Linked DNA regions of Elephas maximus indicus. The protein of the gene in region 3 binds, or shares a complex with, the protein of the main gene of each other region. Links are inferred from orthologs where the notes say so. Each region holds a gene or a part of one and is shown on either strand. Other genes may lie near its edges.

Region 1 (10,314 bases), on a different chromosome or scaffold from region 3:
GGAAAGGGGGGGAGGAGGAGGGGAAAGGGGGGAAAGGAGGAGGGGAAGAGGGTCGGGTTGGGGGAGTTGGAGAGTGCGATAGAGGGGCGGGGCGCAGGCCCTGACGCGGGGCCGCTTCCGGGCGCGCAGCTACCCCGCCCCGGGGGTGGCTCCGAGGCCTCTTGCCTTGTATGGTGCGAGGTCGCGGCTCGCCGGGCTCCGCCCTGAGACGCACGGCCAACACTCACCTACACTGCGCTGGGGAGGCTGACCCTGGCCGGTCCTGCAACTGCCTGGGGCCTGCCCGCTTCCAAGGTTCGGAAATGCCCAGATCCTGTAATTCTGAACTTTCAGAAGCCTGACCTGCTAAGATTCTTTAATTCCCAGGTTCTAGGACCCTGGAAAAGGAGCCTTGGTGGCCCAATGGCTAAGGGCTCCTGCTAACCCAGAGGTCGGCGGTTGGTACCCACCAGCCCCTCTGCGGAAGCACAGACCTGACAATCTGCTCCATTAAAGATGACAGCCCAGGAAACCCTATGGAGCAGGTCTCCTCTGTCCTATAGGGTCGCTGTGAGTCGGAATCGTCTGGAAGGCATAGGACAACAGGATCCTGGAATACCAGAGTTCGAGAATTCTGCGATTCCTAACGTCTTGAGATGCCAAGGGTCTGGAATTCTGGGGGTCTAGAATTCTAACTCGGCAAGAGACAAATTCTGAGATTCTGAGATGTTGAGAGCCTAGAACCCTGAGCCTTTAAAACAGTTCCCCCCAAGATTTCGAAAAAGCCTAGATGCCTCAGAATCTCAAATCTTAACGCGCTGGCTCCTGAGAGCCCAGAACGCCCGCCCTGGCGTTTCCGGGGTGACCCTTCCCGACCCTCCACCGCTCCCCTTCCCCCTCACCCGTCACCCCGCGCCCGCGGGGCCCGCCCCTGGGCTCAAGCGCCAGCACATTCCGTCCTCCCGCTCTGCCCCGCCCTCCTCCTGCGGCCTGCCTCATGGGGACGGAAACATCCCGTCCCCGCCCGCGCCCGGGCGAGAGCTAGGGCAGGCAGCCTGACGGGACGGGAGCGCCTGTGTCCCCCACGCTCCGGGAACTGGCTCTCCCGGCTCCTGCCGGGTGACCTCACCTGGCCCCGCCCCCTCAGGTGAACGGTCGGCCGATTATGTCACTTCCTGCCAGGTAAGCGCCCGGAGGAGCTCCGCGCCGGGGAAGTTTGGAGTTCTTATTTAACTTGACCCCGCTTCTAAAAACGGGCACACCATCCATCCTTCCCATTCCTCACGCCCTTCGGACGCTAGAAAAGCCAGGATTCCAGTCTACACGTTGATTCTTTTTATTTAAAAATTCCAAAAAACACAAAAATAGACTTTTCAGGTAACAATATATATATTAATATATTATTATAGTATACTTATAACAATAATTATTCCATTGTTTCCAATATTACAAAAGGAGAAAGAAAAATACAAGGGGAGCAGACGACCCAATATATATAAATACTATAAAATCTATTAGAATAAATAAAGTCGTCATAAATAAAAGACCCATTGGCTTGGGCGGGGGGGTGGCAACGGCTTTGGCTGCTTGCTTTTGGAGAGAAATTTGAGCACCAGGATTCCCTCTCAGGGGAGGCTCCACTAACCCCCAGGCGTTGGGACCTCAGGTCTAGGAAAATTGGGAGGGGGCAGTGGGGGCCTATTATTCACAGCACATGAGATTCTAAGAGACCGATTTGGGCAGGGGAGAGCTGGGGACCCCACTGCCTCCCTCCAATATGCTACATCTTGTCTTTAAAGAACCCAGCAAACACTCCATCTCCCACACCATAAACACTGTCCAGCTGGCACACTGGGGACCTGCCCCAGGGCAGGGTCAGAAGAGTGGGTTAATGCATCTGGGAAGGTGAAGGGGGCTACTTGATCAAGGGCTCCCCCAGTTCCCCACAGCCCCAGGGCCCTTTGTGGCGTCCACAGCATGAGAAATGGACCCCCTCTGTGATCCAGCTGATCTGTACTAGGGAGGACTTGTCACTCAGAAACGGAAATGCGATTGAAGATGGGGAGTCGGCGGGGGGCTGCAGGCGGCTGGGGTGGCCCAAAAACCCCCGTCTCGAAGACAGGTGAGTCAGAGCCCCCCAGACTGCTGCCGCTGCTGGCATAGTCGTCAGGGTCGGATCCCAAGGAGTGTGCAGAGGGGCTCCGAGCCAGGCCACCCAAGGGTCCCCAGAGACTGGGAGTTGCTCTTCGACAGGAGGGGCAACAGGTTGGGGTGGGGTCCCTTCGGGGCACAGGGGTCCCAGGGGCAGCAGAGAAAGCAGAGGGCGAGAGTGGGAGGTCCCCAGGCGGTGGTGGCGGGGAGCTGGAGGGCGAGAAGGAGCAGGAGGACAGGGAAGGGCCCGGCAGGCCCGCTGGTGGTGGTGAAGCCCGGCGGCCGGAGGGCAGGCCAGAGAAGCTGACGCTCTGGCGCAACACGTGGGGGTGCCCAGGGGTGGCCAAGTCCTCGCTGGGGTTGTGGATGAAGTGGCAGCGCGAGCCGTAGGGGCAGCGGCCCTGGAGGTAGAACTTGTGGCAGAGTTCCGTCTTGTACTTGGGGTGGCGATTGGCCTGGCGCAGCTCACTCAGGCCATGGGCAAACTGACACTTAGCCCCGTAGCGGCAGCGCCCGCTCTCAGAGAAGGTCCGACACAGCTCAGTCTTGTAGCGGGACGAGGTGGCCGGGGTTGCAGTAGGCGAGGTGGGTGAGGGTGACAACTCAGGGCCTGGGCGTGGAGCCAGGGGTGCGAAGCCTGGGGGTGGTGGCACCCAGGCGCAGGCGCGGCCCTCCACCAAGCTGGTGGAGCGGCCGGGCAGGCGGGGGACCACGCCGGCAGGGCTGCAATCGGATGAGCTCCAGGGTCCTGAGGAGGGCCATCCCAGGCTGGACTCAGTGCCTCCGCGGGTTGTCCCTGCCAGGTCAGGACTCAGCGACAGGAGGCTCTGTGGGAATGGGGGCGGTTAAGACACCGAAAATGGAGGGTGACGCTCCGCCCCAGCTTCAGGGCAAGGCACCTTAAGAGCCTGCCCTGCCCGCCCGGTTTGTGGGTTTGTGGGCTCTGACTTGAGCCCCACCCGCCCGCAGAAACCCGGGGTTTCGCGATTCCAGGAATCTCGATTTGGAGGCTTGGAGTTTATCCACGACTGAAGCCTACCCCGGGGCACCCGGGAATTTGGGCTCTCCGATCCCGGGCACAGAGGGGGCCCCAAAGTCAGGGCACACCACTGTCCCCCAATTTTGAGCCTCTGGGACTCCGCGGATCTGACCCATGCCTCCTAGATCGCCAGTATGATAACTGGAAGATCCTGTCAAAGTTAACCCCGGAGTCCGGATCCCTTTGGTTCAGTTCTGAGAGCCTTCCCCTGGACAGGGAGGGAGGCAGGCAAGGAACAGAGGTCGGCTTCCCCCTCCAGACTCTTGCCCCTGAACCGCCTACGCGCAAAAGCGCGCCCTCAGCAACTCCTAGGGGTAAGCCAGGTTCGGGGGCCGTTTCCGCCTCTAGACAGCCCTCGTCGGAGAAAAATCCTCCGGCTTTCTATCTCCAGGGTCACCGCACCCATATTGGGGACGAGATCCGGGAGTCCCGGGCTTCATTTTCGCCTCCAGAGAATCGCACTGGTCTGAGAAGAAAGGCAGGGACCCCGTGCCGGAGTGGGTGGCACTAAGGAGCCTCAGTTTGAGAAGGGAGCCAGGGTCTCCGGGCCGGAGTTTGCGGCGCTAAGGAGCGCTAGTTTGAAAGGGGGTGGCCGCTGCGGGGGCTCACCTCGTAGATAGCAGTGAGATCCATGGCGGAGCTGGGGGCCGGTCAGCTGAGGGCTCGGCCGAGAGTAGAAGAGATGGAGTCAGAGGCTGCGTTGGGGCTGGAGGGCCACCCTCTTATAGACAGAGGGTGGGGCTAATCGGGGCGGGGCCGGGGCGGGGGGCGGGATCAGGAGGGCGCTTCCCGGACGCGCGCCCCCGGCGCGGGCCGCGCCAGTCCTGGACTAGTCCCCTTCCGCCCGGCCCACAGTCGGGGGGTGCGTGGGGTGCGGAGTGTCGGCCCAGTTTTCAAGATTGGAGACTGAGGCGCGAAGAAGGGAGCAGGGGCGGAGGCGGGTCAGAGGTCCACGGGGAATTGACAAGGGAACAGACAGACAAAAGAGAGGGTGTGCGTGCGTGCGTGAGTGCGGGACAGACATGGAGAGAGAGACATATACAGGATGAAACACACCGAGAGAGGGGAGGTGGGGAGACAGAAAACATCATGAGAGACAGTCTCAGAGAGAAGTTTAGAATGAGAAGCAGGATGGAGAGATTCGTACAAAGAGACAGAGAAAAACAGTGATAAACGCACGAAGAGGGAGACAGAAACTCCAAGGGGCAAAACGGGGAAATGGGCGCAGTAGGCTGGAAGCGAGTTCTCTTCCCAGACCTGCCCTTGGCACTCTTCCAAGCAACACAGATCCGGAGACCTGGACCGACCGCCCTCCCGCCCCCACTCGCGGGTTGGTTGTGTGGGTGGCCCGGCTACCTGGCCAGGCTGGAAAGGGGCCTCCTTTCTCAATTCAGCAGGGCCCCTGTAGCCCCTCGTCTTCGCGAAGCTGATGACGATTCTAGGTCACTTCTGGGCTGGGCACTCTTCTAAGTACTTTATATACCTTCACTTTATCACTGCTATGAGTCAACCAGGTATTAATATGCTCATTTTACACAAGTGGAAACTTGTGTAAAAGAGAGGCACAGAGTTAAAGTTACTCCCTTTGCTACCCAGCTATACTAAGCGGCAGCGGCCCAAATATCAGTACCTTAAGTTATATTTACAGGTTTGCTCTCTGAGCAAATCCTGAAGACAGAAAGGGGGAAGAGATCTTTTGTTATGATGGAGGGTTGCCTTGATTGAAAGTGGTTTTGAGATTGGAGAAATGAGTCATCCCCAGCTGATGTGTGGATGAGGTTTATCATGGTGTTGGCCTCAAGAACTCCAACTATGCTGAGGATCATTCCCCACATTGGCAAGTCTCTTATTGTCAGGCGGATGTCCTGAGTGAAAACTCTCTTAAGATATGGGAAGAAAGCTTGTTCTTTAAGGGGGTTGTGGACCTGGGAACATTGGTTAAGCACTCGCGGGCTAACAGAAAGGTTGGCTGTTCCAAGCCACCAGCTGCCAAGCAGGAGAAAAATGTGGCAGTCTGCTTCTGTAAAGATTACAGCCTTGGAAACTCTATGGGGCAGTCAGAATCGACTGGAAGGCAATGGGTAGGGCCCTAGGCGCAAACTGGAGAGGGAGAGGGGTGAGGCGGTAAGAAACCATTGTCACTGAGGGGTTATAATGACGGAAAATTCATTCTTGCAGACTGCGGCAGCGGGCTTGCACTGAGGTGGGGAGATTGTGCCAGACTCCGCGGCGATTTGCTCCTCGGAGCACGGGGGGAATCCCTGGTGCAGCGCATTCTGGGGCCCAGGGGCCTTCCCAGGCCGGTCTCGTGAACTGAGCGGCCGCGGGCGGCTCTGGCACGGTTGCGGCCTCCCGCTTGCCCGTGACTCACTTGCAAGGGGCGGGGGAGAGGGGGCTTCCTGGAAGCCGTGACGAGGAGGCTCGGGCCGGACGCCCGGGTTCCTCTCTTGTAACCAGGGCTTCTGTCTTCTGTAAACAGAGCCTACAAAACAACGGGAAATGGGGTGGTGGTGCCTCGGGCCCCCTCCCAGGGGGACTCCAAATCCCGGTGCCGCTAACAGGACTACGGCTGGAGAACATGGGTGGGGGCACCCTGGGGTCTCCGGGGCCCAGCTAGACGCTGGCCGAGGTCCTAGAGTAGGAATCCCGTTCCGATTCCCTGGAAAAAAGGAGCATTTCCCATCCCTGAGTCAGGCTGACCCTCCCTCCCTTCCCCCATCTGCTGAGTCATCCGCCAGAGAGCCGGGACGCTTGGGACCGGGCCAAAAAGACTTAAGGGGGGGACCTTGCGGGCGGACAGACTGACCCCCCGCACCCCGAACACGGACCTGTGGGGCTCAGGGGTCGGGATCTCAGCCCCTCCTCGCGAAAGAAGAGTTCAGGTTCTCAAGCAGCCTCCTCCCCCAGACCCAGGAGTCCCGGCCCCCTGTCCCCTTCTCCCCCAAGCCTGGAAGTTCGGGCCTCCAGCCCCCTCCTCCCCAAGACCCAGGAATTCGGACCCCCAGGCCCCTCCGGGCTCAGACTCAGGAGTCTGGGCTCCCAGCCCCCGCCCCCACCCCCACCCCCACCCCCGGGGGTCAGGCGTCCCAGCCCAGGAGGAAGTTCACGTTGGACTCCTCCCCGCTCCCGACGTAGCCAGCGGGAAAATCCGCGGCCCCAGCGGCGGCGGCCGGGAATCCCCTTTGGAATGATGTTGGGGAAGGGGACGGCCGGGGTCCCCCGCCAAGGCGCTGGGGGCAGGTCCTGAGCGGCTAGGGGAGAGGGGTAGGGGCGGAAACCAGAGAGGCTAAAAATACAGCAAACACTTCCGGCCTAGGGGGAGGGGAGCGGGGAGCAGAGTTTCCAGAAAAACAAGCGGGGACGGGAAACGCGGGGGTGTGAGAGCCGTTGTGAGCGCGCGGGCGGGCGGCCGGGCCGGCGGGCGGGCGAGCTGGGGGCCGCGTACTCGCAGCACGTGTGTGTGCCTGTGGCGTGTGTGCGCCCGGCGGGACTGACTGGGTGTGAGTCCAGTGTGCCTGGGGGACGGGCTGGCTGTCTGCGCCTGGGTGTGCGACTGCGTGGGGGAGAGGGAGCGTGGGACCTGTGTGTGTGTGTGCGCGCGCGCGCGCGCGCGCGGCAGTGTGAACAGCGTGTGCGCTGCAGGTGCGAAGGCGTGTGCCCCGGCATGACCGGCTGTGTGAGACCGAGGGTGGAAGGTGCATGAGACGTGACTGTGTGTGTGAATAAGTGTGCCAAACTGCCTATGCCTGTGCGGTTGACCATATTGTGCATATTTTAACCCTCTGTGGGTGTGGGAACTCTATGTGCATCTGGCTTTGAGGTGGCAGTCATGACAACGTGTGACTGACAGGAGTTTTGCTTGTACATCTGTGTATAGCTGTATGCCATGGCAGGATCTGGAGTGGCTGAGGGTGTGTGTAACTCCGTGAAGATGCCTGGGCGCGGGTGTGTGCCCTCTGGTGTGACTAGAGGTGCTCTCAGCCTTGTAGAACTATGTACAACTGTGTGTGCCCCACATGGGGGCCTCAACTGTGTGAGGGTGTGATGGGCTGTGCACACACAACTTTGTGTGTAAGCTCACCCATCTGCGTGTGTGTGGTTGTGGCAGTTTTGTGTGTAATCACCAGGTGTGTGAACAGTGCTCACATGCGTCTGTGGCCTTATTTGTTGGTGTCACAGATTGCGTGTGCATTAGAATATGGTAGGCCAGTGTCTGGATGTGGTTCCCCTGTGGCCCCGTCACAAGGCAGTGAAACTGGTGAACTTGGTTCCTGACGTCTGCAGCGCGCGTGATGGGGAGGCGGCTGGCGGGGGCCCCCCTCCCTGTTGTTGTTGGTGTGTCTGCCTTCGTGGGCAGAGCAGACGCACACACACCAGCACCTGAGAAGTCACGGCAGCGTCTGTGTTCGGCCTTATCTATGCCCAGCGACACTGCCTCTGATAGTGTTGGGCTGAGGGCAGGGCTGAGTCAGCCTGTGATGGGCAAAGTCTGCGATGGGGTGACAGATAGCGGGTTAAGTGCTGGGTAGAGGGTTGTTTGTGTATTCATGGCATTGGATTATTTCTTCAGAGAGTTTGTGGTGCAGCCACTGTGACAGGGTCCCTGGGGACACCGCGCTTGTAGGATGGTAGATCATGGTATCCTCTGTTGGGATGGGGTGTATCCCCCACGGTCTTTTCCCTACAGGAGTGGCTGTGTATCTCACATACACCCTTCCCTGGAGTGTGTGGTTGTGCACCGGACTCGGTCTAATAACCTAGTAAGAACAAAGTTCTCCCCAAGTCCCTCCATGATCTGCTTCGACTTCCTGTCCTATTCCCACCCCCTCACTGTGGCCCAGGTCGTCTTGCTGTTCAATAAACACAACAGCACATCCCTACCTCAGGGCCTTTGCACTTGCTGTTCCCTCTCTGTGGAATGCCCTTGCCCCACATGCTCACATGACTTATTCCCACTTCAAGTCTTTGCTCCAGTATTGCCTCAGTGAGGCTTTCCTTAATTTGTGTCAAAGGTTAAAAAAAAAAAACTTTCCTTTTTTAGATAATAATCTTGTGTATCTATATTTTAAAAAAACTCATTGTCATCGAGTCAATTCTGACTCATAGCCACCCTATAGGACAGAATAAAACTGCGCCATTAGGGTTTCCAAGGAGTGGCTGGTGGATTGGAACTGCTGACCTTTTGATTAGCAGCTGAGCTCTTAACCACCGCATGCGCTGCCAGGGCTCTATCTTATCTATAAACCGGTTGCCATAGCGGCCTTATAGGACAGAGTAGAACTGCCCCACAGGGTTTCCAAGGAGTGCCTGGTGGATTTGAACTGCTGACCTTTTGATTAGCCGCTGTAGCTCTTAACCATTACACCACTGTGGTTTCCATCTTATCTATATAACATAATAAATACAAGAAAATACAGGTAACATCCGTTCGTACACCATAGTAATTAATATCCGTGAAACCCCTACCCAACCTAAGCTCTTCAACTTTAATGGTTTTCAACGGCTTAATAATTTTCCTCTTGTGTTTCTTGCCTTAGACTTATTCCTAAGTACCAAGTTTTTTGCTGTTATAAATCTCTACTTCTGATCTCACTCCTCTGCCTTATTTTTCTTCTTGGAGCATCTCGCTATCAGATAACACGTTCTACTTTGTCATGTTTATGGTCTCTCACTAAGGTATCTGCTCCAGCAGGGCAGGGATCTTTGTACTGGGCCTGGCCCACACTAGGTGCTCACTAAATGGTTGTCAAATGAACACAGCTTCCTGGTGCACACGTCCCATCCTGTGTGTGGCTGCTGGGCTGTGCACCCACCCCCTCGCCTCATCCCTGCTCTGTTTTAGTCTTCCCCTTCAATGTGGTGTGGTTTTCAGCACTGTGGGCCCTCGATCATGGGTGGTGGCAAGCCACACCCCAGCCTCTGTGTAAGGTGGTCATGTTGCCTCTGCCCAGTAGGTCCAACTGTCCCCCAGTCTTCTCGTGTGGCACCGACACGCCTCCACCAGTACCTGGCATGTCCCCCAGGGTGGGCTCTGCTGGGGAAAGGGTTAGTGCGTTTTTGGTCATACACAGGATAGCTGCATCACGTTAGGTAGAAGTATGGAGCCCTGGTGGCCCAGTGGTTAAGTGCTATGGCTGCCAACCAAAAGGTTGTCAGATCAAATCCACCAGCCACTCCTTGGAAACCCTATGGGACAGTTCTTTGTCTTATAGGGTTGATATGAGTCAGGATCAACTCAACAGCAATGGATTATGGGTTTTAGGCAGAAATATGACTTCATTAGTGTATTTATTTGGAGATTCAGTATAGTTTAAAATGTATACTGGTGCCAAGTGGCCAAGGGGTAGATTATGGTGGTCAGTTGTGTGTGTCAACCTGAGTAGGCTATAGTGCCAAGGTACTCAAATGTTAATCTAGGTGTTGCTGTGAAGGTGAAGGTATTTTGTAGATGGGATTAAAGTACATAATCAGTTGACTTTAAATAAGGGAGAGTATGTAGATAATGGGGGGAGTTGGTTCATCAGTTACATGAGCAGGGCCGAGGCTTCCCGGAAGGAGTTGCACCTGTGGATGGAAGCTTCAGCTTGTGCCCAAGAGTTCCAGCCCAGCCTTCCTGATGGCCTACCCTGTGGGCCCTGGCATTTCGAGGAAGGACAAGGAGAAAGGGGAGGAATTTCCCGGGATGTACATGTTCATACACACACACACACACACACTGCTGGTCATTTTCCAGGACTCTAGTGTGGGGACTTGGGCTCTGGGTCGCTATGGTTTTGGAGTTTCCCTGCAGTTGTGGGATCTAGGACAGGAGGCCAACCAGTCCTGATGGGCAGGAAGATGGGAACAGAAGGTGTTGGGTGGGGCAGTCCCACCAACCCGGCTGAGTCACTGGAACCTCTCACACCCCAACAGCTGGGCTTGGGCTGGTAGCTCCTCCTTGCACTTGTCCAGGCATGAAGGCCATGGCTGAGCTCCCCTGAAGCTCTCCAGGGAGCAGGGACCTTGGTGGGGCACTCCCTCCCCGGAGCCCCCTCCCCAAGGGCAGCTTCCCAGAACTGGGGCCCAGGGGCCTGGGTCCTCCCCACAACTGATGATTCACGGCCTTTTCACTTCTTCTTTGGGGCTAAAAATACAGGGACCCAGGC
Region 2 (11,353 bases), on a different chromosome or scaffold from region 3:
ATAATGTTTACATTATCAAAATTTAGAAGGAAGTAGGAAGTTGTTCTTCCCTTTTCTGTGCTTTTCCGTTTAACAGTCTGTACATGGACCACGTATTTCAAGTAACACCTTTTTCTTTCAACAAAACGTAATACAGGTTAGAAATTTATACCAAAGTGAGTCACTAATGGCTAACTCCAAGTGTCAACAAACACTGGGTATTGACAGTTGGTTTTCGATCTCTGAAAGATCTTAACATTTACTATGACAAGGAGACAGATATTAGAAATTATCTTAATTATGATTTTTTCCTTTTGGGTTAATTAAAAAATTAATATAGATGGCTTTCTTAAACAGAAATAGCCAAATCTATCAATATAACATTATGTTCAAGGGCCAAGATAGCTGTCAGTTTTCCTGACACCAATGAATATGTGACAGTGAATTCAAAAATTGACTTAGATTGAAATAGGAATTATTTTCTAAAGTCTGGAGATGATTCAAGTGGCTTTGGGTGTCAACATAATGATGATATGCCAAGAAAAAACCAAGCCAAAACCGTTGCTGTCAAGTTGATTCTGACTCATAGTGACCCCATAGACAGAACTGCCCCCATGGGGTTTCCAAGGAGTGGCTGGTGGATTTGAACTGCCAAGCTTTCGGTTAGCAGCCAAGCTCTTAACCACTGCACCATCAGAGCTCCACACCAAAAAAAATAGAACTTTCTAAATAGTGCTTCAAGTATTCAATTAGCTTTATTAACCTCTTATCTTGTAAAATAAGGGCCAGAATATTCTTCAAGGTAACTTTTTGAAAAATAGATGTGAACAAGCAAAGAGAAGTTAAGCAATTTGACTAAAGCTTCAATGGGAGACCCAGGAGGAGATCCTTCAGTGTGCAGTGTTCTTTCTACTTTCCAAAAGGGAGGGCTTCTGGGAGTTCATCACAGCTTCAACAAAAGTATATAAAATGACCAGGTAGAAAGTAAGGGAAAGATTATGGCTTAAGGATGCTACAATTGTTATTGGGAATTAGTGGGAAATTAAGAAAAATATATATATGTATATGTATCTCCAAAGCATTTCTTAAAGGTATACCTTTGGCTTTCAGATCACTAGCATAACATTCATTACGGAAGATAACAACTCTAGGTATGTGAAGATTTGTAGTTGTTTTAATCTGAAGCAATCTCCAAGGTCCATAACAAAGTTATTACTTTGCAGAGGTAGGAACTAAAATCCCAAGGCTGAAGTCTGGAAGCAAGTCATTTAACCAGTGAGTGAAGTGAGCCAACCACTAAGCAGTTTGTCATTCTTGTTCAATCTTTAGAATAATCTCGTGTGGTATTACTGTCCCTATTATATTCTATGTTGGCAATAACAAAGTTGTTAGGATGTATTCCCTCAAGAATGACAAGTCTACTACATCAAAACCAAATCCATTGCTGTCGAGTTGATTTCGACTCATAGTGACCCTATTGGACAGAGCAGAACCGCCGCACAGGGTTTCCAAGGCTGCCATCTTTCCGGAAGCAGACTGTCACATCTTTCCCCTGTGGGGCAGCTGGTGAGTTTGAACCAGCAATATTCAGGTTAGCAGCCAAGTGCTTATCCACAGCTCCTTGTCTACTGCACAGTTCTAGCATAATAAAATATTACTCTACTCTCAAGATTTAAGGTACTTCCCCAATTATCTCAATCTCTCCCTCTACAAAGAATAGCCTGAATTCACGTGTGATCACATCATCCTATGATAGTACTTTCTATCTCCCTGCCTGAAGAAATAACTTTCCTGCTATTTAAAAAAAAAAAGAAGGGAGAAGGGAGTGATAAAGGCACATACACAAATATAAATTTTCATTATTGGGCAATATGTAAGCATCTTCTCAAGTAGCTTAGATTATTGTGGGTAATGTTGCATGTATTATTAACTCTCCCCATCTTCTAATGAGTGATATACATCATTATTGTCCTTTTACCCAGATCATAATTCCCAGTTTGGTCTAACAGATGACATGAGGGATTGGGAACGAGGTGAGTCAACTTTTCTATGCCTCAGTCTCCTCACTAATCAAATAGCTCAGTGGATGAGTGGTACAAAGGAACTTGTCAGAGCTGCTGTACAGTCCAACTAGTGTAACAGGTGCAAGTACATGTAAAAGTTTAAATTCTTAAGTAAATATAAGGCATTGTACATTGAAGAAGCATATACTGAGTATTTATTATTCTTAATGTACCACAGCTTCAATGGCTGTTCAAAAGATGAACTATTGAAAATAAAATTGGAGAATGGCTTGGTATCAAAAGTACAAATCCTGGGGAAGACAAAGATTTTGAGAGAGAGCCAACCTTACAAGAATCTCCCTCAGTTTAATCTGCCTCTCTCCTGTTTTCTTTTTTCCCCTACCAGCAGCAGCCTTACCTTGCAATGTACTTCTTCCCAAATTTGGGAGGTAGAATAAAAAAGCTAGGGAAATTAAAATCAAATTAAGATTTAAAAAGTACCTCTCCACAATTACAAACATGGTGACAGGAGACAGAGATGCCACTGGCCCTGGAAATGATGACTTGATAAGGATCAAATCTCAGAAAGCAATGTTTGCTATAGGCTAGCCACACTTGGCTCACTTTTTCTTCAGTTGTTATATTTAAAGTTAAGGCAATTTCTTTTGTGCTCTATTTAGAACTTATGTCATGTTGCCTGGTAATGCAATTTCAGCACGTTATTATCTGCTTAAGTCACTTTGTCCTTGGTGAAACTGAAAAAGTAGGACTGGCATGCAGAAGCGTTCACTAAAATCAAATGATCCCTTTTTCCCATTATGGCTACATGTTCTCAGTGGTCACCTCCTGCATTTATATTACTTCACTGAACAAAGTATTTGAGTTACTAAATGGTAGCAGAAACTATCCTAGCACTGGGGAAACAATGTAAACAGGACCCAAATGATCCCTGTTTCTGTGTTCAAGGGGGAGGACAACAAGCTAGTAACTTCATACAATAGCTACATATTAGGATCGGTATTAGGCAGGGTACTCTGAAAGAGAAAAGTTGGCTACTCTGAATAAGGTGGCCAGGGAAGGCCACTCTGAAGCACATTTAGGTGGAGACCAGAAGGATGAGAGCCTGTTACACCCACATGGTGTGTGTGTGTGTGTTTGTGTGTGTGAGACACACAAACACACACAGAGGGAAGAAAAGCATTTCAGACATAGAGACCAGAGGTGCACCCAGGAGTGGAAAAGCACATGGAGGAGGGTTAGCAAGGGGGCAGTGTAGCTAAAGCACATGGAGCAACTGACATAAGAACCAAATTAAAAAACCAAACCCGTTGCAGTGAAGTCGATTCCGGGTCATAAAGACCCTACAGGACGGAGTAGAACTGTCCCATAGGGTTTCCAAAGAGCAGCTGGTGGAATCCAACCGCTGACCTTTTGGATAGCAGCCGTGCCCTTAACCACTGTGCCATCAGGTTCCAGTGACATAAGACAAGGCTGAAAACGTGAGTAAGGACGACATCACACAGGGCCTTGCAGGCCATGGCAAGGAGTCTAGATTTTATCTAAGTGCAATGGGAAGCCATAGAAGTACTTCAGACAGGTGAAATACACGTTGCGCTTTTCTTGTTAAAAGAGCACGCTGGTAAAGCCTGGTAAGCTGTTGGGACGAGATGTGTGAAAGGTTTTAAAAGCAAAGAATCATAACCAGATGCATATTTATTCACTTCTCCGGGCTTCAGGTTTTCCATCTGTAAAAGCTAGTGGTTTGAGCTAGAAGCCATTCCCATCCTGCTGCGTTAGGCAGTAAGTTCCGAGAGCACCGGCCGCGTCAGATTTACCACGGGATCCCCCTCGGCCCCGCCGGCGCCCAGCACACCATTGCGGCTCTCAAACTGTTGGTCAGCGTAAGGAATCAATGAATGGCCGGCCCGGGCCGCGAGGGAGACGCTCCGGGCGCTGGACCAGGCCCCAGGGCCGGAACAGAACGCTACGCGCAGAGACAGGCAGCGAGAGCCGTCAGCCGAGGAGAGCGGCGGCCAGCCGCATCGCAGGAAAGGCGCGGCGAGGAGGGAAGCAGGGCCTCGCCGGCTGAGGGCAGAAGGAGCTGGACTCGGGGCCGACACAGGGAGCTGGGAGAGGAGGTCGAAACGCAGGGCTGAGGAGGGGTTCTGGGCCCAGGCCGGCCGGTCCAGCCACTCACCGCAGCCGTCGCCAGGCTGTGCATGTTGGGGGCGGCCGCCACTCTCCTCCTACCGCCGGACGCGCCCGATCCGCGTCCTGCTTCAGCGCCGCTGCCGCCGAAGATGATGAGCCGCCGCAGCCGCCATCCGCCTCCGGCTCGCTCCGCCCCCTTCGCCGCCCTCTGACCTCTCACCCCTGACCCCGCCCACACAACCTCTTCCCGCCTCCCTGCCCTCGGCGGAGTTAAAAGTCTCACAGTATGTCTTTTGCCCCTTAAGATTCAGGGAGGACGTCCGCGACCCGCTAGTCCCCGTATCCCCGGCTTCAAGTAGGCATCCTTACGGGTGTGAACTCTGACCCTCCTTCGGAAGCCAGTGAAGGGCGGGAAAAGAGGAGCAGTCTCGGGAGGCCTGTTAGTGCGCATGCCCGACTGGGCTCAGTAGGAGGGAAATGGTGGGAGCTCGAAAGGGGGATGAAATGGAAAGTGCGCGTGCGTACTACAGTCACGGCAGGGGCGGGGCTTCTGTGCAGGGCGTCGCTTGGTGCCGAGGCGGGGCGAAGGCGTAGGAAGGGCGGAGTTATAGGCTTGCGCGCACGCCTGGTTTGGTCGCGTCGAGTGTGCGTGCGTGCGTGCGTGTTTGCGTGTGGTCACAGTTCCCGCCATCAGCCGCTCTCCCTGACTGGGGGAGTGAGCGGCCCCGCTCCACAGTGGCCGGTACCCCTACTTTACTCCCGGTTCCTCCTCCTCCGCTCGGACTCTGTGTTTCCGGTAGGCCTGTTCTGGGGCTCCTGACTCGCAGGCACAGGTAAGGCGGGCCCGGCAAGCTTCTCAACTGAGCTGTTTCTCCCAGCCCCCCTCCCCTTCGCTGTCCGCCCACTCGGCGTTCACTCTTAAAGAGTTCACCGCGCTGCTTCTCAGCCCGCCCCCCAACCCCTCGACGGTCCCTAGCCTCAGATACTCGACTTGGGGCTTCCCCCCAGGCTCTCCCTCTCTTAAAACCTGGTCTTTACTGTCCCGTGCCCTCCGCAGTCCGAAACTGGCTCCTGCTGTCGTCCACCACTTGCCACTTAATGAGGCCTGCTGTCTCTTCAGGTGACTTCCGTTGCCGCACATTCCATCGGGTCCTAGACATGATACTCAATTCAGTCTCTGGACCATTCTTCACTTTCTTTCCTCTCCTAAGTATCCTTCACCAAAAGGCATGAATTATATTTTTTGTCGTGCATCTGTCTGGTGTTCCCCATTTCTGGCCATCAGATTAGGTTGTCAGGTTTACCCGTTTTAGGTTATGATCCGCAGAAGGAAATGGTAATTGATGGCAAAGCCCTGTATTCTGACGAGTTGTCCTGTAATGGTTTTGTGGTGGTGGTGGTGGCTGGGTGCCCTCGAGTCGTTCTCCACTCCTAGTGACTCCATGTGACAGAGTAGAACGGCCCTGGAGGGTTTTCTTGGCTGCAGTGTTTATGGAAGCAGATCACCAGGTCTTTCTCCCATGGAGCCGCTGGACCAACCTTTTGGTTGGCTGTCGAGCTCGTAACCATTGTGCCACCAGGGCTGTTTGGTTTTGTTGTAATCCCCTCAAAATGTTAGCTCTGTGAATGCCTTTTGCGGGGGGGCGGGGGGGAGGTTGCTAATGCCAGACAGGAGTCTCTGGGTGGCTCAAATGGTTAATTTATGGACTACTAACTGAAACGTTGGCAGTTCAGACCCAGCTAGAGGTGCCTCAGAAGATAGGCCTGGCAATCTGCTTCCAAAAAGTCATAGCTTGGAAAACCCTATGGAGGAGTTCTACTTTGCACACATGGGGTCACCACGACTCAAAATTGACTGGATGGCAACTAACAACGATGCCTGACGGGCCTGTAACTGGAAGAGCTATCTTAAAGGAGATGTCAGGTAGACAGTTGGATATGCTGTTGGAGCTCAGAGAAGAATTTCTGGGCTGACAATTGTATATACATGTGTACACCTGTAAAAAACCTGTTGCTGTCAAGTCAATTCCGACTCATAGGGACTGTATATATACACATAAACAGAGAGTCATGTTGGTAGTAATTGAAGCTATGGATGTGGATGAAATTGCATAGAGTATAGTGCTAGAAAAGAAGGGGACCTAGGAGGGAGCATTGAAGAATTCTTAACATTTAATAACTGGATAAAGGAGAATGAGCCTTGCAAAAGAGATGAAAGAAGTTGTCAATAGTGTTGAATTCTGCTGAAAGGTAAAATTGAATGAGGACTGAAAAAACCCTGGTGACATAGAAGTAATTAGTGATCTTAGTAAGAGGTGTTTCTATTTTGAATATCTGGACTTCAGCCCTAGGTCCTCTTCTGCTTTTACTTTTGCCTTCCATAAGCCTCAAATTCCATCTCTACATTGAAAACTTAAGAATGTTTATTTCCCATCCAATCCCTTTGCTTTGAACTCCACATCTAAATAGCCAACTGCCTGTTTGACATCTCTACTTAATTTTTTCAGAGGAATTTCAAATATAACATGTCTGAAACATGTCTTGGTCATTCTTCCCACACCCAAATTCTTTTTCTTCCAGTGTCCCATTTTATTAAATGATACATCCATTTATCCAGTTACACAGGTTAGAAACTTGAAAGTCATTCTTGGCTTTTCCCTCATCCTGTGTATCCATACCCTCTCCAAATTCTATCTATTATACTTCAATATATGTCTTGAATCTATTTCTCTACATCTTCACTACCACCTTTTTTAGTTCGAGCTACAGTCGCCTTTCACCTGGACTTAATCTCACTGGTTCCAAGTATTTTCATCTGTAAAATGGAAATAATAAAAGGTTCTACCTTATTGGATTGTTGGGAGGATTAAATGAGATAACCACGATGAGCACTTGGTACATGGTAAATGGCCAATAAGTGTTACTTGTTATTGTAATTGTTGTTATAAGCCGAACAACTTAAGTATTCTATCTGGTTGCTCTGTTTTCTTCTGTTCTTGCTCCCTCCACTGTTCTTGTCCCCAGACCCAAACAAACCACGTCACTTCTCCATTCAGCAGTAATATGGCATTTTCTCTGCTTAAAACCCTCCCATGCATCTCCCATCACTAAGTGCTTATTACACTGAGTTAAAAAAAAAAAAACAACCCATTGCCGTCGAGTTGATTCTGACTCACAGTGACCCTATTGGACAGAGTAGAACTGCCCCATAGGGTTTCCAGGGAGTGGCTGGTGGATTCGAACTGCCAGCCTTTTGGTTAGCAGCTGTAGCTCTTAACCACTAAGCCACCAGCATTTCCATTATGTTGAATAGTAAAGATCAAATTCAGAATCCTTACTGTGGTCTGTAAAACTGTGTAACTCGGCTCTTGCTTCACTAGCTTCATCTTGCACCATTCTCTCTGTCACTAAGCAGCATCCATGCTGCTACTTTTCAGTCATGCCAGGTTCTTACCTATCTCAGGGCCTTTGCACTTTTATAAAATAAAAAAGAAATTCTTTTCTGTTTTCTTGGATTGTTCCAGCACCACCATTCCCCAATCAACTTACTTAATTTTCTGTTCAAGTGGTACTTTTCTTAATGTTCCCTACCCTTTACCACCAAATCTTAAATACCCTGTTGTAATCTCTCATCTTGCCCTGTACTTTCACTTTTTATCACTTATTGGAACTTGTAATTGTATATTTACTTGTGAAATTGTTTAAAGTCTGTGTTCTACTAGATTACAAACTAATGACCATTTCTACTTCTCAAAAAATTGTTAAATGAGTAAACTGGACTTAAATAACAACCATGAGTCTTTTGGAAGGACCAGTTTACTGATTATTGTCATTTTAAGACAGCTACCTTTTGCAAAAACAGAGGACCACAAGAGAAAAACAAAGAGTTTTCCAGCTTTGGGTCATTATACCCTTTCATATGTCATAAAATCATTCAGATTCATTCTTTGAATTGGAGATAAATTTTATGTAGGCTAACTTCCTTCTTTACTTTCAGCCACACCACTAATTTTATCTTGTTGTGTGTTTGTCATATGGATCTTTTTAGGAAAGAAAGCCCTTGGAAATCAGAGCAGTGGTTTATATATATATATTTTAGCAACGGGGTAGACTGTGAGACCAGTGAGGATGAGGTTTCCAAAATAGATAAAGCAAAATTCCATATTTAAGTCAGTTGGTGGTGGTGGATATGGGAGGAAATGTTAAAATGTAATAGTTTGTGTAGAACAGGATTTGTATTTAGAAATAGGAAGTGTATGAATCCCAAACACAGAGAAGCATTTGAATTTCTTTTATGGGTAGTCATGAGCTGTTAAAAAGGGGAAGGAATTAGCATCAATCAATTTAGCACTTACTAAGAGCGTTTTCTTGGAATATATAGGAAGATACGACTTTATTTTCTCCTTCAGCGATGAAGTTAAGGTGACGATTACTGCATAACTTAGCTGATAATGCCCAAAGAGTAGCCGTTAGAAAGGATATTATAGTGTAAAAGATTCATTGGGTGAAAAAAATTGAGAGAATGGAGACTGGAAAGCAATTGATGCAGTTCATGGATGAGGATGGAATATAGAAATGTGGGCTCTGGCAGTACTTAGTTTTGTTTCTTCCTAATTCTGTGACCATGGATAAATTACTTACTCCCTCTAAGCCTATTTGCCTATCTGTAAAATGGAGATAATAATCCCTATCCTTTAGGATTATTATGAAAATTAAATGAGATAATGTATGTATGGGACTTAGGACTGTGCTTAGTAAATGTTGCATAATACGGGGTGGAGGTTGTGACAGAGAGGAGTGTCTGAATTAGGATAGTAGCTATGAAGAGGCTGAGGTTTGGATGGAGGAAAATGAGGTTAAAGCTGATGCTAAAATTTCTTGCCTCAATGATGATAGAAGGATGAAAGTAGGAAAGTCTGGTGACCCTTGAAGTGAGGGTATGGGTTGTATCATCTGCACATTTGTATCTCTACCTCAGCCCTTCAAATTGGAGTAGCTCAGTAAATGATATATTACTAAGTAAATGAATTTAAAAGTTGTGGCATTAAAGTAGGTGAGTGAGAGATGTTTGGGTAGAACTTGAGGAAAAGTTCAGACTTAGGCCTAAGTTTGAGAAAGAAACCCACACATTTAGTTTTGAAAGAAAAGTGAAAGCTCCAAGTTTACCTGCCTTTTGAAATATATATCAGCACATCATGTAACTGGTGTTTAAAGACATTATTATGTAACTATGTTTATAAAATCAACAAAGCATATACTCTTTCTTAGTTTCAAAATGTAGCAGGGTAAATAAACCAAGACACAAGTTAATCAAGGTGCTGGCTCCTTCTGGAGTCCCTCATTTTGCGTAGCAGTGCTCCTACAGTCCTGTTGATCGTGTGTGTGTGTGTGTCTGTGTGTGTGTCTGTGTTGAGCGTCATGTTTTAAATGTTTTTAGTAAGTTTGTGGTTTTTAATAATCAAAGGATTAATCTTTGTTGTATAAATGATTTTTTTAAGTTTTAATTTTGTATATTTGATTCTTTTAAAAAGACACATTTATATTTTTTTCAGCTGAGTTGATGGCTTCCGGAGAACTGGCATAGCTGCAGAATATGAGTAGTTCCCCAAGAAGAGTGCTTTGCCTTTGGCACAAGGATCAGAATAAAGGTGAATTGTTATTACATAGGGTTTTTCAGTAAAAGTCACTGAAAAGTAAGTAATATTTTTGTTTTGGATATGTGCTCCCAAGAGTACGGAAATTGGCAAGAATGACAGTTTTCTATGTCTATTTTGTAGTAACAGTTTTATGCTTTAGCATACTATCTTTACCACAGAATGCCCTCTAAATAAGAGTGTTTTCAAAGTGGAACCTAAAATATGAGCATTCAAATAAATGTACAGGAAATAGGAATATTTTTGCCAATATTGATTGAGCTTTCATGAAATGTTCAAAACTGAACAGTAATTTTAATAATTGTGAAGAAATTTAGGAAAAGGGGAATCTCTTTGTACATACTTAAAAAATAATTAGTTATCCTTTGTCTCCCTAATATTGCTTTGATAGGAGAATTAGCATCGCAGAGTTCAAAGAAACCTTGTCTGTCCTAGATTCATAGAAAGTTTAACTGTTACTGGATCATGCAAGATACCGAAAAAGAAGCTTAGTTTTTTTTCCTCTTACCCCACTAAGGGAATCCCTGAGAACATGATGAATGTGCAAAAGTGGATGTAGTTACTTCAGTTAGTGCGAAAGCAGGTAACGGGGTAAATTGAGGCATTAAGAAAAAGTTTTGTCTTATTGGCTCTGCCAATTTTATGTCCTGCATCTTTTAGTTTTTTTTTTTTTTTTTTCTTTAGAAGAAAGAGAGGCTGCTAGCAGAAATGATTGAGACATTTTCAGTATTTGAAGTAAAATCTTATGCAGTTAACCAAAACTTTGTACTGAAATATTTGAGTGTTTGGGAGGCATAGTTATCTATAAACAGAAGTAACCAATACATTTTTTGTTTCTCTAATGCTTTAGTGAACTTTGGAACTTTATCTCAGAATTTCATTAAATGTTATTTTTAAAATATATATTTTTCATTGGAAATTTCAAAGTCAGTGACTTTTACTTACTTGTGGTTCTGTAAGGAAAACATTAAGAGAATAGAGTTTTATTTTCTCTTTTATTTTGGCACTCTGACCCATAATGACATAAGGAAAGCTCAAGAAATTTGCAAAGACCTACAACTCTTAACATGGAGTTTCTTCTTTGAGCAATGCATAACATGAATCCTAGTTTTAGGCAGATTTACTGTTTCTGTTTTCATAATGCATTCTGTAACTACATACCAATTCGTATTCTTCATAAATCATTTTTCTCTTGAATTCTTAACAGGGTCTGAGGACAGCTTTGCGTTTAACTGGAAAGTTTAAATACACATAGAAAAACTTAGATGTAGTCTTTGGGAGATAAGTTATATGTAATACAGTGCATAGTGGTGCTCTTTTAAAGAGCTTAGTAAATGTAACTATATTGGCTATATAATGGGAATTTATGATTCCAGAGGCTAACTTCCCCTGCTGTGTATTTTAACAGCAGGTTGAAGAAAATTGATAGTACTAATTTTTTCATAATTCTTAAACGGTGGGTTTCTGCTTCTTGTGTGTCAGACACTGTCCTAGTGGGGTTGCAGAGATTAAAGAACACATTCCCTGGCTTCAAATAGCAAATTCTAGATAGAAACAAAGAGGTCA
Region 3 (10,481 bases):
CTGACAAAGACTGGAAGAACCCCCGAAACTATGGATCCTGGATGCACTGTTAACGCAGAAGTGAAACCATTCCGGAAGCCCACTCTTCAGACAAAGATTAGACAGGACTATAAGACAAAAAATAATACACATGAGGAATGTGCTTAAGTTCAATCAGATACATAAGACAAAATGGGTAGCTCCTCTCCAAAGGCAGGATGAGAAGGGAGGAAGGGGCAGGAACTGGTTGAATGGACACAGGGAACCCAAGGTAGAAAGGGGGAGCGTGCTGTCACATTGTGGGGATTGCAACTAATGTCACAAAACAGTGTGTGTATTTAAAATAAAATAAAATAAAATAAAAAAGGCAACTGGTTTAGTTCCTAAAAGGAGCCCTAGAGGCACAATGGGTAAGCGCTCAGCTGCTGACTGAAAGGTCAGACGTTGGAAACCACCAGCCGTTCAGAGGGAGAAAGATGCAGGGAGAAAGATGCGGCAGTTAGCTTCCATAAAGGTTTACAACCTTGGAAACTGTATGCGGCAGTTTTACTCTGTCCTATAGGGTTCCTACAAGTTGAATTTGACTCAACAGCAATGAGTTTTAGTTCACAAAGTTATGTTCTACATCCTAGTTTGGTGACTAGCACCTGGGGTCTTACAACTCTTCGTATCTACTCATCCAGAGCAAAAGAGAAAGGAGCAAACAAAAGAAAAGTAAAAACTAGTCTACAGGACAAATAGTCAACTTGAACCACAGCCTCATCTACCCTGAGACAAAAAGAACTAGATGGTGCCCAGCTACCACTACTGATCATTCTAATCAGGGCCACAAGAGGTGGACACTGATTGTGGAATGGAAAAAATATGTGGAACAGAACCTCAAACACCCCCCACCGCCCAAAAAAACCCAGACCTACTGGACTGGTTGAAACTGGAGGACTCCCTGAGACTACTGGCCTGAGATACTCTTCAAACCTTGAACCGAAGCTAACCCAAGGTCATCCTGTAGCTAAGTAACAAATTGGCTCAAAAAATAACTACTATCACGCATAAATACTGTGCTCCTTTAAAAAAAATCTATATGAGACCAAACAGTCAATAATTAAAACAAAGATGAGAATGTAAGGGGGCAGAGAAACTAAATTAATGAAACAGAATACCAAAATGGAAAAAATGAGAACATTCACGCATTGTGAAGAACATAACCAACATCACTGAACAACTTGTGTAGAAACTGTTGAATGGGAACCTAAACCTAACACAACAAGCATTATTAAAAGAAAGAAAAAAAAAAAAAGCGACTGATTGACCATACAGGTTCTCATTTTTTTGATGAACTATCAGATACCTGGATCTTTTATGTCTTTGTATTAAACTCTAATAATGTCACAACTCAAGTTAAACAGTATGAAAAGACAGAACATTAGGCTAGAGTAGGAAAACCTGACACACTCAGCTTTGCCATTACTTGACCTTAAATTAGTCACCTCACTTTCCTGGGCTTCAATTTCATAAAGTGATGGCAACAAAATTCTGAATGACAAACTTCCAAAGTTTAATTATCTAAAAAAAATAACAATTATAAATATATAGCCATAAGAGAGAGAATCCACGCCCTGAAAGAACAAAAACAAGACATACTGTTTCCTAAGAATGCCATGGTCTATAAATCTACCGAACTGTATCAAATGAAGTGCTATTCATTCATAAATCTGGGCAATGTTTACATTTTGAGGAAGGGGAGACTCCTTGCCCACAGAAAATTTACAGGCATACAATTAAGTGAACTTTCCAAGTAGTCTTTAGGAGGCCAAGAGAAATGTGAAAAATCAATTTGGCTAAGAATGATCAGGAAAGATTAGTAGACAACACATTTGAGTTTGGACTGGAATGAGGGATGAAGTTTTGGGAGATACAGATGACGGGGACTTTCCAGACAAAAGGGGCAGAGATGTATCTGGAGACAACTGTGTAGCAGTCTTTTGTTCACATAGCACAGAACATTAATGTGCTGCTACGGACAAGGAGGGGTCAGCCCTTCTAGCTCCAGATAAAGGTATCTGAAGGACTTCTGAGCAGAAAAAGGATATTTCCAAAGGACCAAATTTGGAAGCAAATCGGCAGTAATATAAAGAATGGTATTCCTAGAATCTTTTACAATTATAACGTATTCACATGTTATCTACATAAAAAAGAAACCCAATAAACAAATGGACTGGAAATGGTACTGGACATTAGTTAGAAAGCTACTGCAAAAAAGATAAAGGGTCTGAAACTAGACAAAAACTATTCTTACAACAGATCTATATAAAAAAGTAACAATTTCAAAAACTAGGAGCTATAAATTGAAGACTTGAGTGACAAACATTCAAGCTAATTTAATCATCTAAGGGAAAATGTTGAGCTCTTAATATGAATCTTAAAAACATTAGGATGGTGTATTTCAAAATATGCTTTCATCCCACCTTCTATTTCATATCGTTAGTTCAACATCACAAAAAACTCTCCTGCATACAATTTAATGTCTCAATCAACATTTTAGACTTTCCTCCTAACAACATTAAACATTTCTTAAATCCACCCTCTACACTCTGAAAGGCTGTATTTCCTTCAAACCTCAGAAGAGGGTTGCAGATTAAGTCTACACCTCTAATTGCTGACTTCTTAAAAGAATGCTTTTCAATGAAGGATTTAACTGTTTCGTTACATTCTTGCAAGACTGAGTGAAAAGTATGTTAAAATAAACTATTATGTACACAGGATGCAAAAGGTTTCCAAATGATTTTAGCTTTGAAACAGCTACTAAAAAATTGTGAGCAAACAGAAAAGGAACTGCTGGGATTTTCTATATATAAAGTCCTAAAATAAGGCTCAGTGGGATGCCATTTTGAAACTTCCCAGCAGGAAGTTCAGTTTGGTCAGAGGGCTATTTAAGAAGTGCTTCAGCTAATATTTTTGATGACTTGAAAGCTTTCTTCTTTTACAAAAGAATATGTCCAGTTAGTAAGGCACAGCATTTCAAAATGACTAACAAACATTTTACAAAAATCAGTGTTTTAATTGGAATTATTGTAGACAAATTGGCCAAAGATTTATCTAACAGAATGAAATAAAAAATCAAGTTTATAAATACAAGCTGGAAAAAGAACGTTTCTTCTAACTAGATCAGCATCTAACCAAAAACATACTTACAAAAATCAACATCAAAGATAATTGTGAAATTAGTCTTTAAAGCATGTTTTGAAGAGGTAGTAGGCATCTCCTTTTCTGGCTTCACATAGTTTTGTTTTTTATGATTTAATCCAAAGTTTAGAGAATGTCGAAGTACTTAACCTGAGATGATCCATGACAGGGAGACCAGGATTTAAATCTTCAGTAGAAATTTAAGAGACTAGGAAGAGCCACGGAACCAGGGAAGAGCATTTCAGCTCTGTTCCACCACAGTGCCAGAAAGCTTGCCTTAAAACTCCTAAGACAGACTCGGGGGACAGTAAGCGTGTTAATGGTGATGGCTGAACAACATGATGAACACACTTAATGTCACTGAACTGTACATGTGAAGATTGTTAAAATGGCAAATATTTTGTTACTCAGAGTATAAAAAAATTTTTTTTTTAATTTCTAAGACTACAATGTTAGGTAAGAAAGGGAAGTATTTTCATTTACTGGTCAAGTCTTTGTTCCTTGATTAAGTCTTTTTTAAGTTTTCACTGAAAGTCTTGGGGCCCACTTGTTGAAAAAGGACCAATCCTCCAAACAGATTTTATCAACATGCTGCCATTTCCGTCAAAACACTAGATGCCTAAGCTTTATGTATCATCAACCCATTTTCTTCTTAGACAAGGTAACAATTTGCAGTGTCCTAAAATGTGATTCAACTGTTACCATACAGCTTATTAACAATTAAAATACTGTACTACCAATCTTTGGAAGGCTAAGAATCTCAACCTGGGTCAAAGATCACTAAAGTATTAAATTCAAGTATCCCTTCTAAAACAAGTTTGTTCTTAATCTGTTTGACCTACTTGCTAATTTTTTCTCACCTTCCCCCATTTTTTCATCCATGTATCCCTATCCCTATCAAAGGGCCTGCCATAGAGGGAGTGTTCAGAATTTTTTCCTAAAAAAAGTACTCGATTATATTTCCTAAATTACTAACTGCTTAAAAAAAAAAAACAAAAAAACCCAGTCACATGCAACAGAGTTATAGAGAAATAGGCAGAAAAGCAAATAATAGAGTCCTAAGAAATGTGACATTCGACTGAGTGTCTTCAGAGGGATTTAATTGTAATATAGTTTCTATTAAGCACAACATTTTCAAACACATCGATCAGTATTTGTTTTGCTCTTTAACCCACAAAGCTTACTACTCGTGGGGGTGGTATCTGTACTAGCACAGCTGGATGAATTCTGCAAGGGGGAAGGATACCGGGGGAAAAAAGGTATTATTTGTGTGTTCGGCCTTAAGTAACCCCCGTTAGATCTGCGGCAAATTTCTCACCAGCAACTGTGGCCTACAAGCGTTCTCTTCGCTAGGGGTGCTCCCCGCGGACGGGCAGAACCGCCACTATTGCAGACAGCCGGCGGGTGGCTGGGGGCGGACGGCGGAGAAAACTGAGCGCACAGGCGCGCGAGCGGAACAAAACCTGTGGCCAGAAGTAATGAGGAAGTGCTCGCTCCCGCCCGCCCCTCCCACCCGTAGCCACCCGAAACATGGGGGATTTGACAACGTGCTGGGGGCGAGGAGGGGACTCGCAGATCCAGGTACACGGAGAAGAACCGGGAGCCCACAACTCCAAACACGGTCCCCCTGTCCACGGAAGTAGGCCTCGGGGGCCGATGCCCCTGCACCCATTCGGGAGCCCAGAGAGGAAAGAACAAGTTGAGGAGACTGGTGGGGTCTTAGGAGATGCAGATCGCGCGAAGTGAGGCCCAGTGGCCCAAACTGCCGCCACCGCCGCCGTCCTCGGAGCGTCCAGGCCCGGGCCGGGGGCCACCCCGGCTCTCACCCCGCGCTCTGCCATCCGTTTCCCGGAGCTTTCGCGCTGGCCTCTTTTCCTTAGGGCCCAAGCCTCCGCGAGTCGTAGGGGCAGAGTCCACCCTCCCCTGCCTCGCCACTTTCCCGGCCTGGCTGCTCCTCACTCCCCAGAACTCGGGCAACGTTTCCAATGGCCCCAGGACCACCCCCGTGCCTTTCCCCACCGGCACTCGCGTCCCGTAGCTGACCAGGTCCGCCTACGGCAACCCCAGGCTCCAGCCAACCTCACCTCACACGGCTGCGGCGGCGCTGGACACAGGAAACTCCTGGGTCCCCGACTCCGGCGCTCCTCGACCCCCTCTTCGGTTAACTCCGCTTGTTTCTCTACAAAATGGCGCCGAGGTCGCGCGCTCTCGTCGCGGCCTTTCCCCTCCCCGTTCCCATTTCATCATTCGTCGCCCGCCCGAGGGGGGATGGCCCCAGCACCAGCCAATGATCGCACCCGTCCCGTGGCTCCCGCCCAATCACCGACAGGTGCCCGCGGATTTAAACCAATCACACACTATCACTTGCAGAAGTCTAGGAAGAAACCAGGCTCCTGCTAGCAACTACCAATCCGGACTCCCACTTCGCAGGGTTTGGCCAATTGCCTCTCACAAGTCCCCAGGGGCTGGAGTTGGAGCCCTCGCGCCTGCGCTACGGGCGGGGCCAATGGGGATACGGAGAAAACTTCGATTTGTGGGTTCGTGTACTTCCCACCCTCGAGGTCTTCAACCAATAGGAGCTTGGCATTGCCTCTAAGAAACAATAAATAAGGGGGGAAACCCACAACCCTTCACTACCCTGCGCGGGAACTACTTTGAGTTGAAGTGAAGGGTCTTCCCCACTTTCTCTTTTGAAGTGTCGCAGGGCTTCCCAATCTAAACACCCCTCTCCCCTCCTGTCCCTTTCCTTAGAGCGGAGTAAAGTGGGGAACGCCAGCTACCAGGAAGCAAGCCAGTATATGACTAAAGCGGTGGCGCTCTGCACCCAGGGACGAGTAGTTGCTTTCTAGTACCCACCCCGGTTCTTGTCGTAAAGAGGACGTCTTTGACGTCACTTGCGGCGCCCAGGGAGGAGCAGTGCATCCTGGAGAATGTAGTCTTCCAGATCCTGCACCTGGTCATGATTTGCCTCGCTTTCGTCGAGTAACTTCTAGTTCTATGTTGAAGGGGTGCCCTACGGAGACGTAGGAAGCCCAGGTCCTCTTCCTGGATTGAGCTCTGAAAGCTATATCAGAAAGGATACCTGTGCTCTTTGCTGTCGGGAGAAAAGGTAGAGAGACTCATCTTCTGCTGTGATTTGTTATCTATAGTAAAAAATATAGTTCGTTAAGATTTCCCTCTTCCCACGCCAGCATGGGAGGTCTGGGAAGGAAGCGTTGACTGGCTCTTTTTCAATTCGAAAAAACCTATCCCTTTTCTCACCCTATCTTCAACCTAGCCATCTGTCTCATACTACCTTTTGTGCTTAAAAAAAATAAAATTTTTTTCGACACCTGCCTTTCTTTGCTTGGATGCCGAGTCTTTGCAGCAAACATTTATTGAACGTTTTTTCTTTTTCTTGTGTTTGCCAAGCAACTAACTGTATGAGGCTCAGAAACCCCATGTACAGCAAGAGCAAGGATCACTTCAATCTTGTTCGAAGCTGTATTCCCAGCACCTGACACAGCGCCTGGCACATAGTAGGCATGTGAGCAAATAAATGTTGAAAAATCAGGAAATGGAGAAATGGACTTACAATATTATAATGTTTAGGCCCCTTAAACAGGCCAAGTATGGGAATCAGGCCCTTTTCTACGTTGCTGCTGGTACTAAAAAATTGGTAAAATCTCTATGGATAGAATTTTGGCCAATTTTATCGAAACTGAAACTTCACAGAGTCACTAGCCCAGTAATTCCATATCTAGAAATTTATTCCACAGCTGAACATTGCAGATGTGCACAAAGAGGGATGCACAAGAATACTCACTGAAGCATTGTTTATGGGAAGCAAAAATTGGAAACAGTAGGGAAGTGGTTAAATAATTGTGTGGTACTGTCATACAATGAATTATGAATTGTTAAAAAGAATGAAGTAAATCTATATGTACTCGTATGGAATGGTCACTAAGATTTATTGTGAAAAAAATTATTAGGTGCAGAACTGGAAAAAAAAAGTAGCGAACTCAGAATGTTACATTCTTGTGGGAGAAAATAACTATATATTCCTATATTTAAAAAAAAAAAATATTTACATGTAACTAAATATGTAAAAAGATTCAGAAAGATACACCACCTCAACTGATACCAGTGGTTATTCTTGGAGTACCTGGTAGGCATTGCTGTCACGTCGATTCTGACTCATAACCAGGGGCTGGTTACCCAATAGGCAAAGTAACAATTTAACATTTTTTCACCACACCAAAGATTCTGCTTCTGGGTATGGCTGGCATCTCTCTCTCTCCCAGCCCACAGCACCTTCCTACAGAATCAAAGCCTCTTTTCAAATTTACAGGGGTGGATGACCCAGTAAGCAAGGTAAGCACTTACTAATCTGTAGTGAACAATTTCACATGGATTTCACATCAATTTCACAAAACCCGTGTGAAATTGTTTACTACAGATGATCTGGTAAGCAAGGTAAGCACTGTGCTTACCTTGCCTATTGGATAATGTGCCCCTGCTCATGGCAATGCTATGCGTTACAGAGTAGAACTGTTCCATAGGATTTTCATTGGCTCTGATCTTTATTACAGCAGACCACAAGGCCCTTCTACCATGGTGCTGCTGGATGGGTTCAAACTGCCAACCTTTAGGTTAGTTGTCGTTAGTTGCCCTAGCTGAGCACAAACTGCGCCACCCAGAGACCTCATTCCTGGGGAGAGGAGTGAAAATGAGGAAGAATAAAGGGAACTTTTGCTCTTAATTCTGTTATTGTATTATTTGCATTTCATATAAAAAGAATGTATTCATGTTTTGTTTGTGTCATTTCATATAACTTTTAAAAAGAGATAGAAATTGAGACCCAAAGAGATCAACTAAAATCAGCTCTGTAATCCTGCAACTACTAGTAATTGAAGCCTCAAACTTAGATCTCCTGAAATACAGCTGAGTTCCTTTCCCCCACTTCAGCCTGTGTGCCAAAAAAATGGTCTGCTGCTTTATACTGAGGCTGCTCTAGACCCTTGAGCCCACTGCCAGCCCTCCTCCGGAGTTGCTGCACCAACATCACTCCTAGAATTTGACCCACATGGGGCACACTTGAAGGCAACCAAGTACCTAAAGAGTTCACACAATAGGCTGGCGATCAAAGTCCTTCAGCTTATTCTCATCAGTACTGGTGGCTTTTATCTTTGCTAGGAAGCTAGAAAGTCCCACAGAATGTTTACAAATGGAAAGGGGTAGGGGAGAGCTGGTACACCTCCTCCTTTTACTGAAAGACAAAATAGTTAGAGATCACACCCAGACAAACTGTTTTACTAGAAACCGTCACAAAGGTCTGCATCATCTTATAATTCAGCAATTATGTGTACAGGAGCTCAAAGGTATTTAGAAACAAGACATTTCAGCCAGCTGTTAGTTACGCACCTGGCCTCTTTCCTTCCCCTTTTCCTACCAGGTCTTCACCCCAAATTAAGTGTACATAGGAGGCTCTGAAGTAACTTTACAAACTTTTCATTGTTTCCCAAAATAACCTAGAGAGGAAAATATAAGTGCTGGGAACAAGAGCTTTACTTAACTGGGTTAGGGATAGAAGTAAAAAAATAACTAGAAGACAAAGGACTTGCTTTGAAACCTGTATAAACTGTATTATAAAATGTTTGGAGGTGCTTGGAAAATGGTGAGCAGAAATACAAAGCCTTGTTATTCCATGTATAGGAGCCCTGGTGGTGCAGTGGTTAAGTGCTCAGCTGCTAACTAAAAGGTCAGCAGTTTGAACCCACCAGCTGCTCTGCAGGAGAAAGACGTGGCAGTCTGCTTCTGTAAAGATTATAGCCTAGGAAACCATATGGGGCATTTCTACTCAGGTCTCAAGGGTCAATGAGTCCAAACTGACTCGACAGCAACCAGTGTTAGTTTATGTTTCTATTACCCAGAACCAAACCTGTTACCATGGAGTCAATTCCAACTCATGGGGACTCCATGTGTTACAGAGCAGAGCTGCTCCATAGGGTTTTCTTGGGTGTGATCTTTACAGCCAAGGTGCTCCTTAGAGCCAAGGATGGCAAGACTTCGTCTCACATACTTTGGACATGTTATCAGAAGGGACCAGTTCCTGGAGATGGACATCATGCTTGGTAGATGGTCAGGAAAAAAGAGGAAAACCCTCAAAGAGATGGATTGACACAGTGGCTGCAACAATGGGCTCAAGGATAACAATGATTGTGGGAATGGCACAGGACCGGGTAGTATTTTACTCTGTTGTACATAGGGTCGCTATGAGTTGGAACCAACTCAATGGTACCTAACGACGTTGTTTTTAGGGGTGAAAGTATTACACCCTCCTACCACATGCTAAGCACTTTACATGCTTTATCTCATCCAAGCCTTAGGATTCTGCAAGGTAGGTATCGTGTTACTCCTTTTTACAGATTTTAGAGAGGTTCAGACACTTCCCCAAGATCACATACCTAATCAAAGGCGTAGCAAGGGTTAGAACCCAGGCTATCTGACCTCAGGGCCCACATCTCAGTCACCATGCTCTAAGCCCTGGTTTGGAAACCCCTCTGACTGGGTGGCCTCTAAGGTCCCAGCTGTAATATTCAGTGGCCCATCGGTGACCATATATTTTTCAAGTAAAAAAAAATCAGATGTAAAAATAAATAGTTAAAATGAGATGCGTAGTCTGACAGAGGGTTATACGTTGGTCAGATAAAAAAAAAAAAAAAATTTTTTTTTTTTTTTTTTTTTGGTGCTGAAAATACTGTGTGGCTGGTGTTTTCCAGGTGAGTTTACATTTGAATTCTTAGATTCTTTCCATAACAGGCAGTTTTGTTTCACGATGATGTGGGAAGCTTCTGTCTTTTTTTTTGAAAGGTCATTTCTCCTTCTGCCTCTTTTCCTGAGAGATAAGGAAGGAGCTAGAGAGGGAAGGGGGAAGACCACAGAGCATCCCTGGGTTGTGATTGGTTTAGGGTTATCTGACAATGGTTGTGTGTAAAAAAAGTTAGGGCAGATCTGAGAAACCTCCCTGGGCTCTAGACAGATGAGCAGACCTAGAATTACTCCTGATGGACCCAGGGCTGGACAGAGTCTGTGACTTTACCCCAGCTTTCTGTGCCTTCCCTGTGTGCAGAACTGATACTAGAAGTGATTGCCAGAAGCCTGGACCCTCGGCCCCTGCTGTTCATCCTCTGCCCAGGGTTGGGGGGGGGTCTGTCATCATTCTTCCCACTCAGGGTTCTTGCCTTGGCAGATGGTCATCATTTTGTATTACAGACACTTCTTTGGATACTATCTCAGCCCCCAATTTATACTTAACATCTTTTGCCTAGCACCTTTCT

The links. Proteins that work in one complex are often made in the same cells at the same time.
Region 1: the proteins of CNOT1 (region 3) and ZFP36 are in contact, whole or in part, in a crystal structure (PDB 4J8S), measured with the Homo sapiens proteins. The link is inferred for Elephas maximus indicus from reciprocal best matches to the Homo sapiens genes CNOT1 and ZFP36. Residues at the interface, in NP_057368.3 of Homo sapiens: Gln821, Glu835, Asp845, Ala848, Asn849, Phe852, Gln853, Tyr856, Asn894, Glu897, Glu898, Phe901, Gln904, Tyr905, Pro906, Glu909; in NP_003398.3 of Homo sapiens: Arg314, Arg315, Leu316, Pro317, Ile318, Phe319, Arg321, Ile322, Ser323, Val324, Ser325.
Region 2: the proteins of CNOT1 (region 3) and CNOT9 are in contact, whole or in part, in a crystal structure (PDB 4CRU), measured with the Homo sapiens proteins. The link is inferred for Elephas maximus indicus from reciprocal best matches to the Homo sapiens genes CNOT1 and CNOT9. Residues at the interface, in NP_057368.3 of Homo sapiens: Ile1415, Ala1416, Thr1418, Thr1419, Gln1422, Ile1423, Lys1426, Asp1427, Phe1428, Met1444, Asn1447, Leu1448, Gly1451, Met1452, Met1454, Ile1455, Arg1458, Glu1459, Tyr1548, Gln1549, Arg1552, Met1553, Pro1554, Gln1556, Ile1557, Leu1559, Val1564, Lys1567, Gln1568, Leu1569; in NP_005435.1 of Homo sapiens: Arg19, Glu20, Tyr23, Ile26, Asn27, Ser30, Ser31, Pro32, Arg35, Pro54, Met55, Trp57, His58, Ser59, Phe60, Gly61, Ile63, Ala64, Ala65, Leu67, Gln68, Val71, Asn72, Tyr74, Pro75, Ser76, Ile77, Asn78, Pro79, Thr81.

What each region holds. Positions count from the first base shown.
Region 1 is NC_064829.1:112,053,630-112,063,943, forward strand, and holds ZFP36 (mRNA decay activator protein ZFP36), read right to left. Parts: upstream 3,877-10,314; 5' UTR 3,803-3,876; coding exon 3,779-3,802; intron 2,958-3,778; coding exon 2,010-2,957; 3' UTR 1,905-2,009; downstream 1-1,904. UniProt on the Homo sapiens protein: Zinc-finger RNA-binding protein that destabilizes several cytoplasmic AU-rich element (ARE)-containing mRNA transcripts by promoting their poly(A) tail removal or deadenylation, and hence provide a mechanism for attenuating protein synthesis.
Region 2 is NC_064824.1:117,127,959-117,139,311, reverse strand, and holds the start of CNOT9 (CCR4-NOT transcription complex subunit 9), read right to left. Parts: upstream 4,405-11,353; 5' UTR 4,204-4,404; coding exon 4,180-4,203; intron 1-4,179. UniProt on the Homo sapiens protein: Component of the CCR4-NOT complex which is one of the major cellular mRNA deadenylases and is linked to various cellular processes including bulk mRNA degradation, miRNA-mediated repression, translational repression during translational initiation and general transcription regulation.
Region 3 is NC_064839.1:25,357,699-25,368,179, forward strand, and holds the start of CNOT1 (CCR4-NOT transcription complex subunit 1), read right to left. Parts: upstream 5,386-10,481; 5' UTR 5,247-5,385; intron 1-5,246.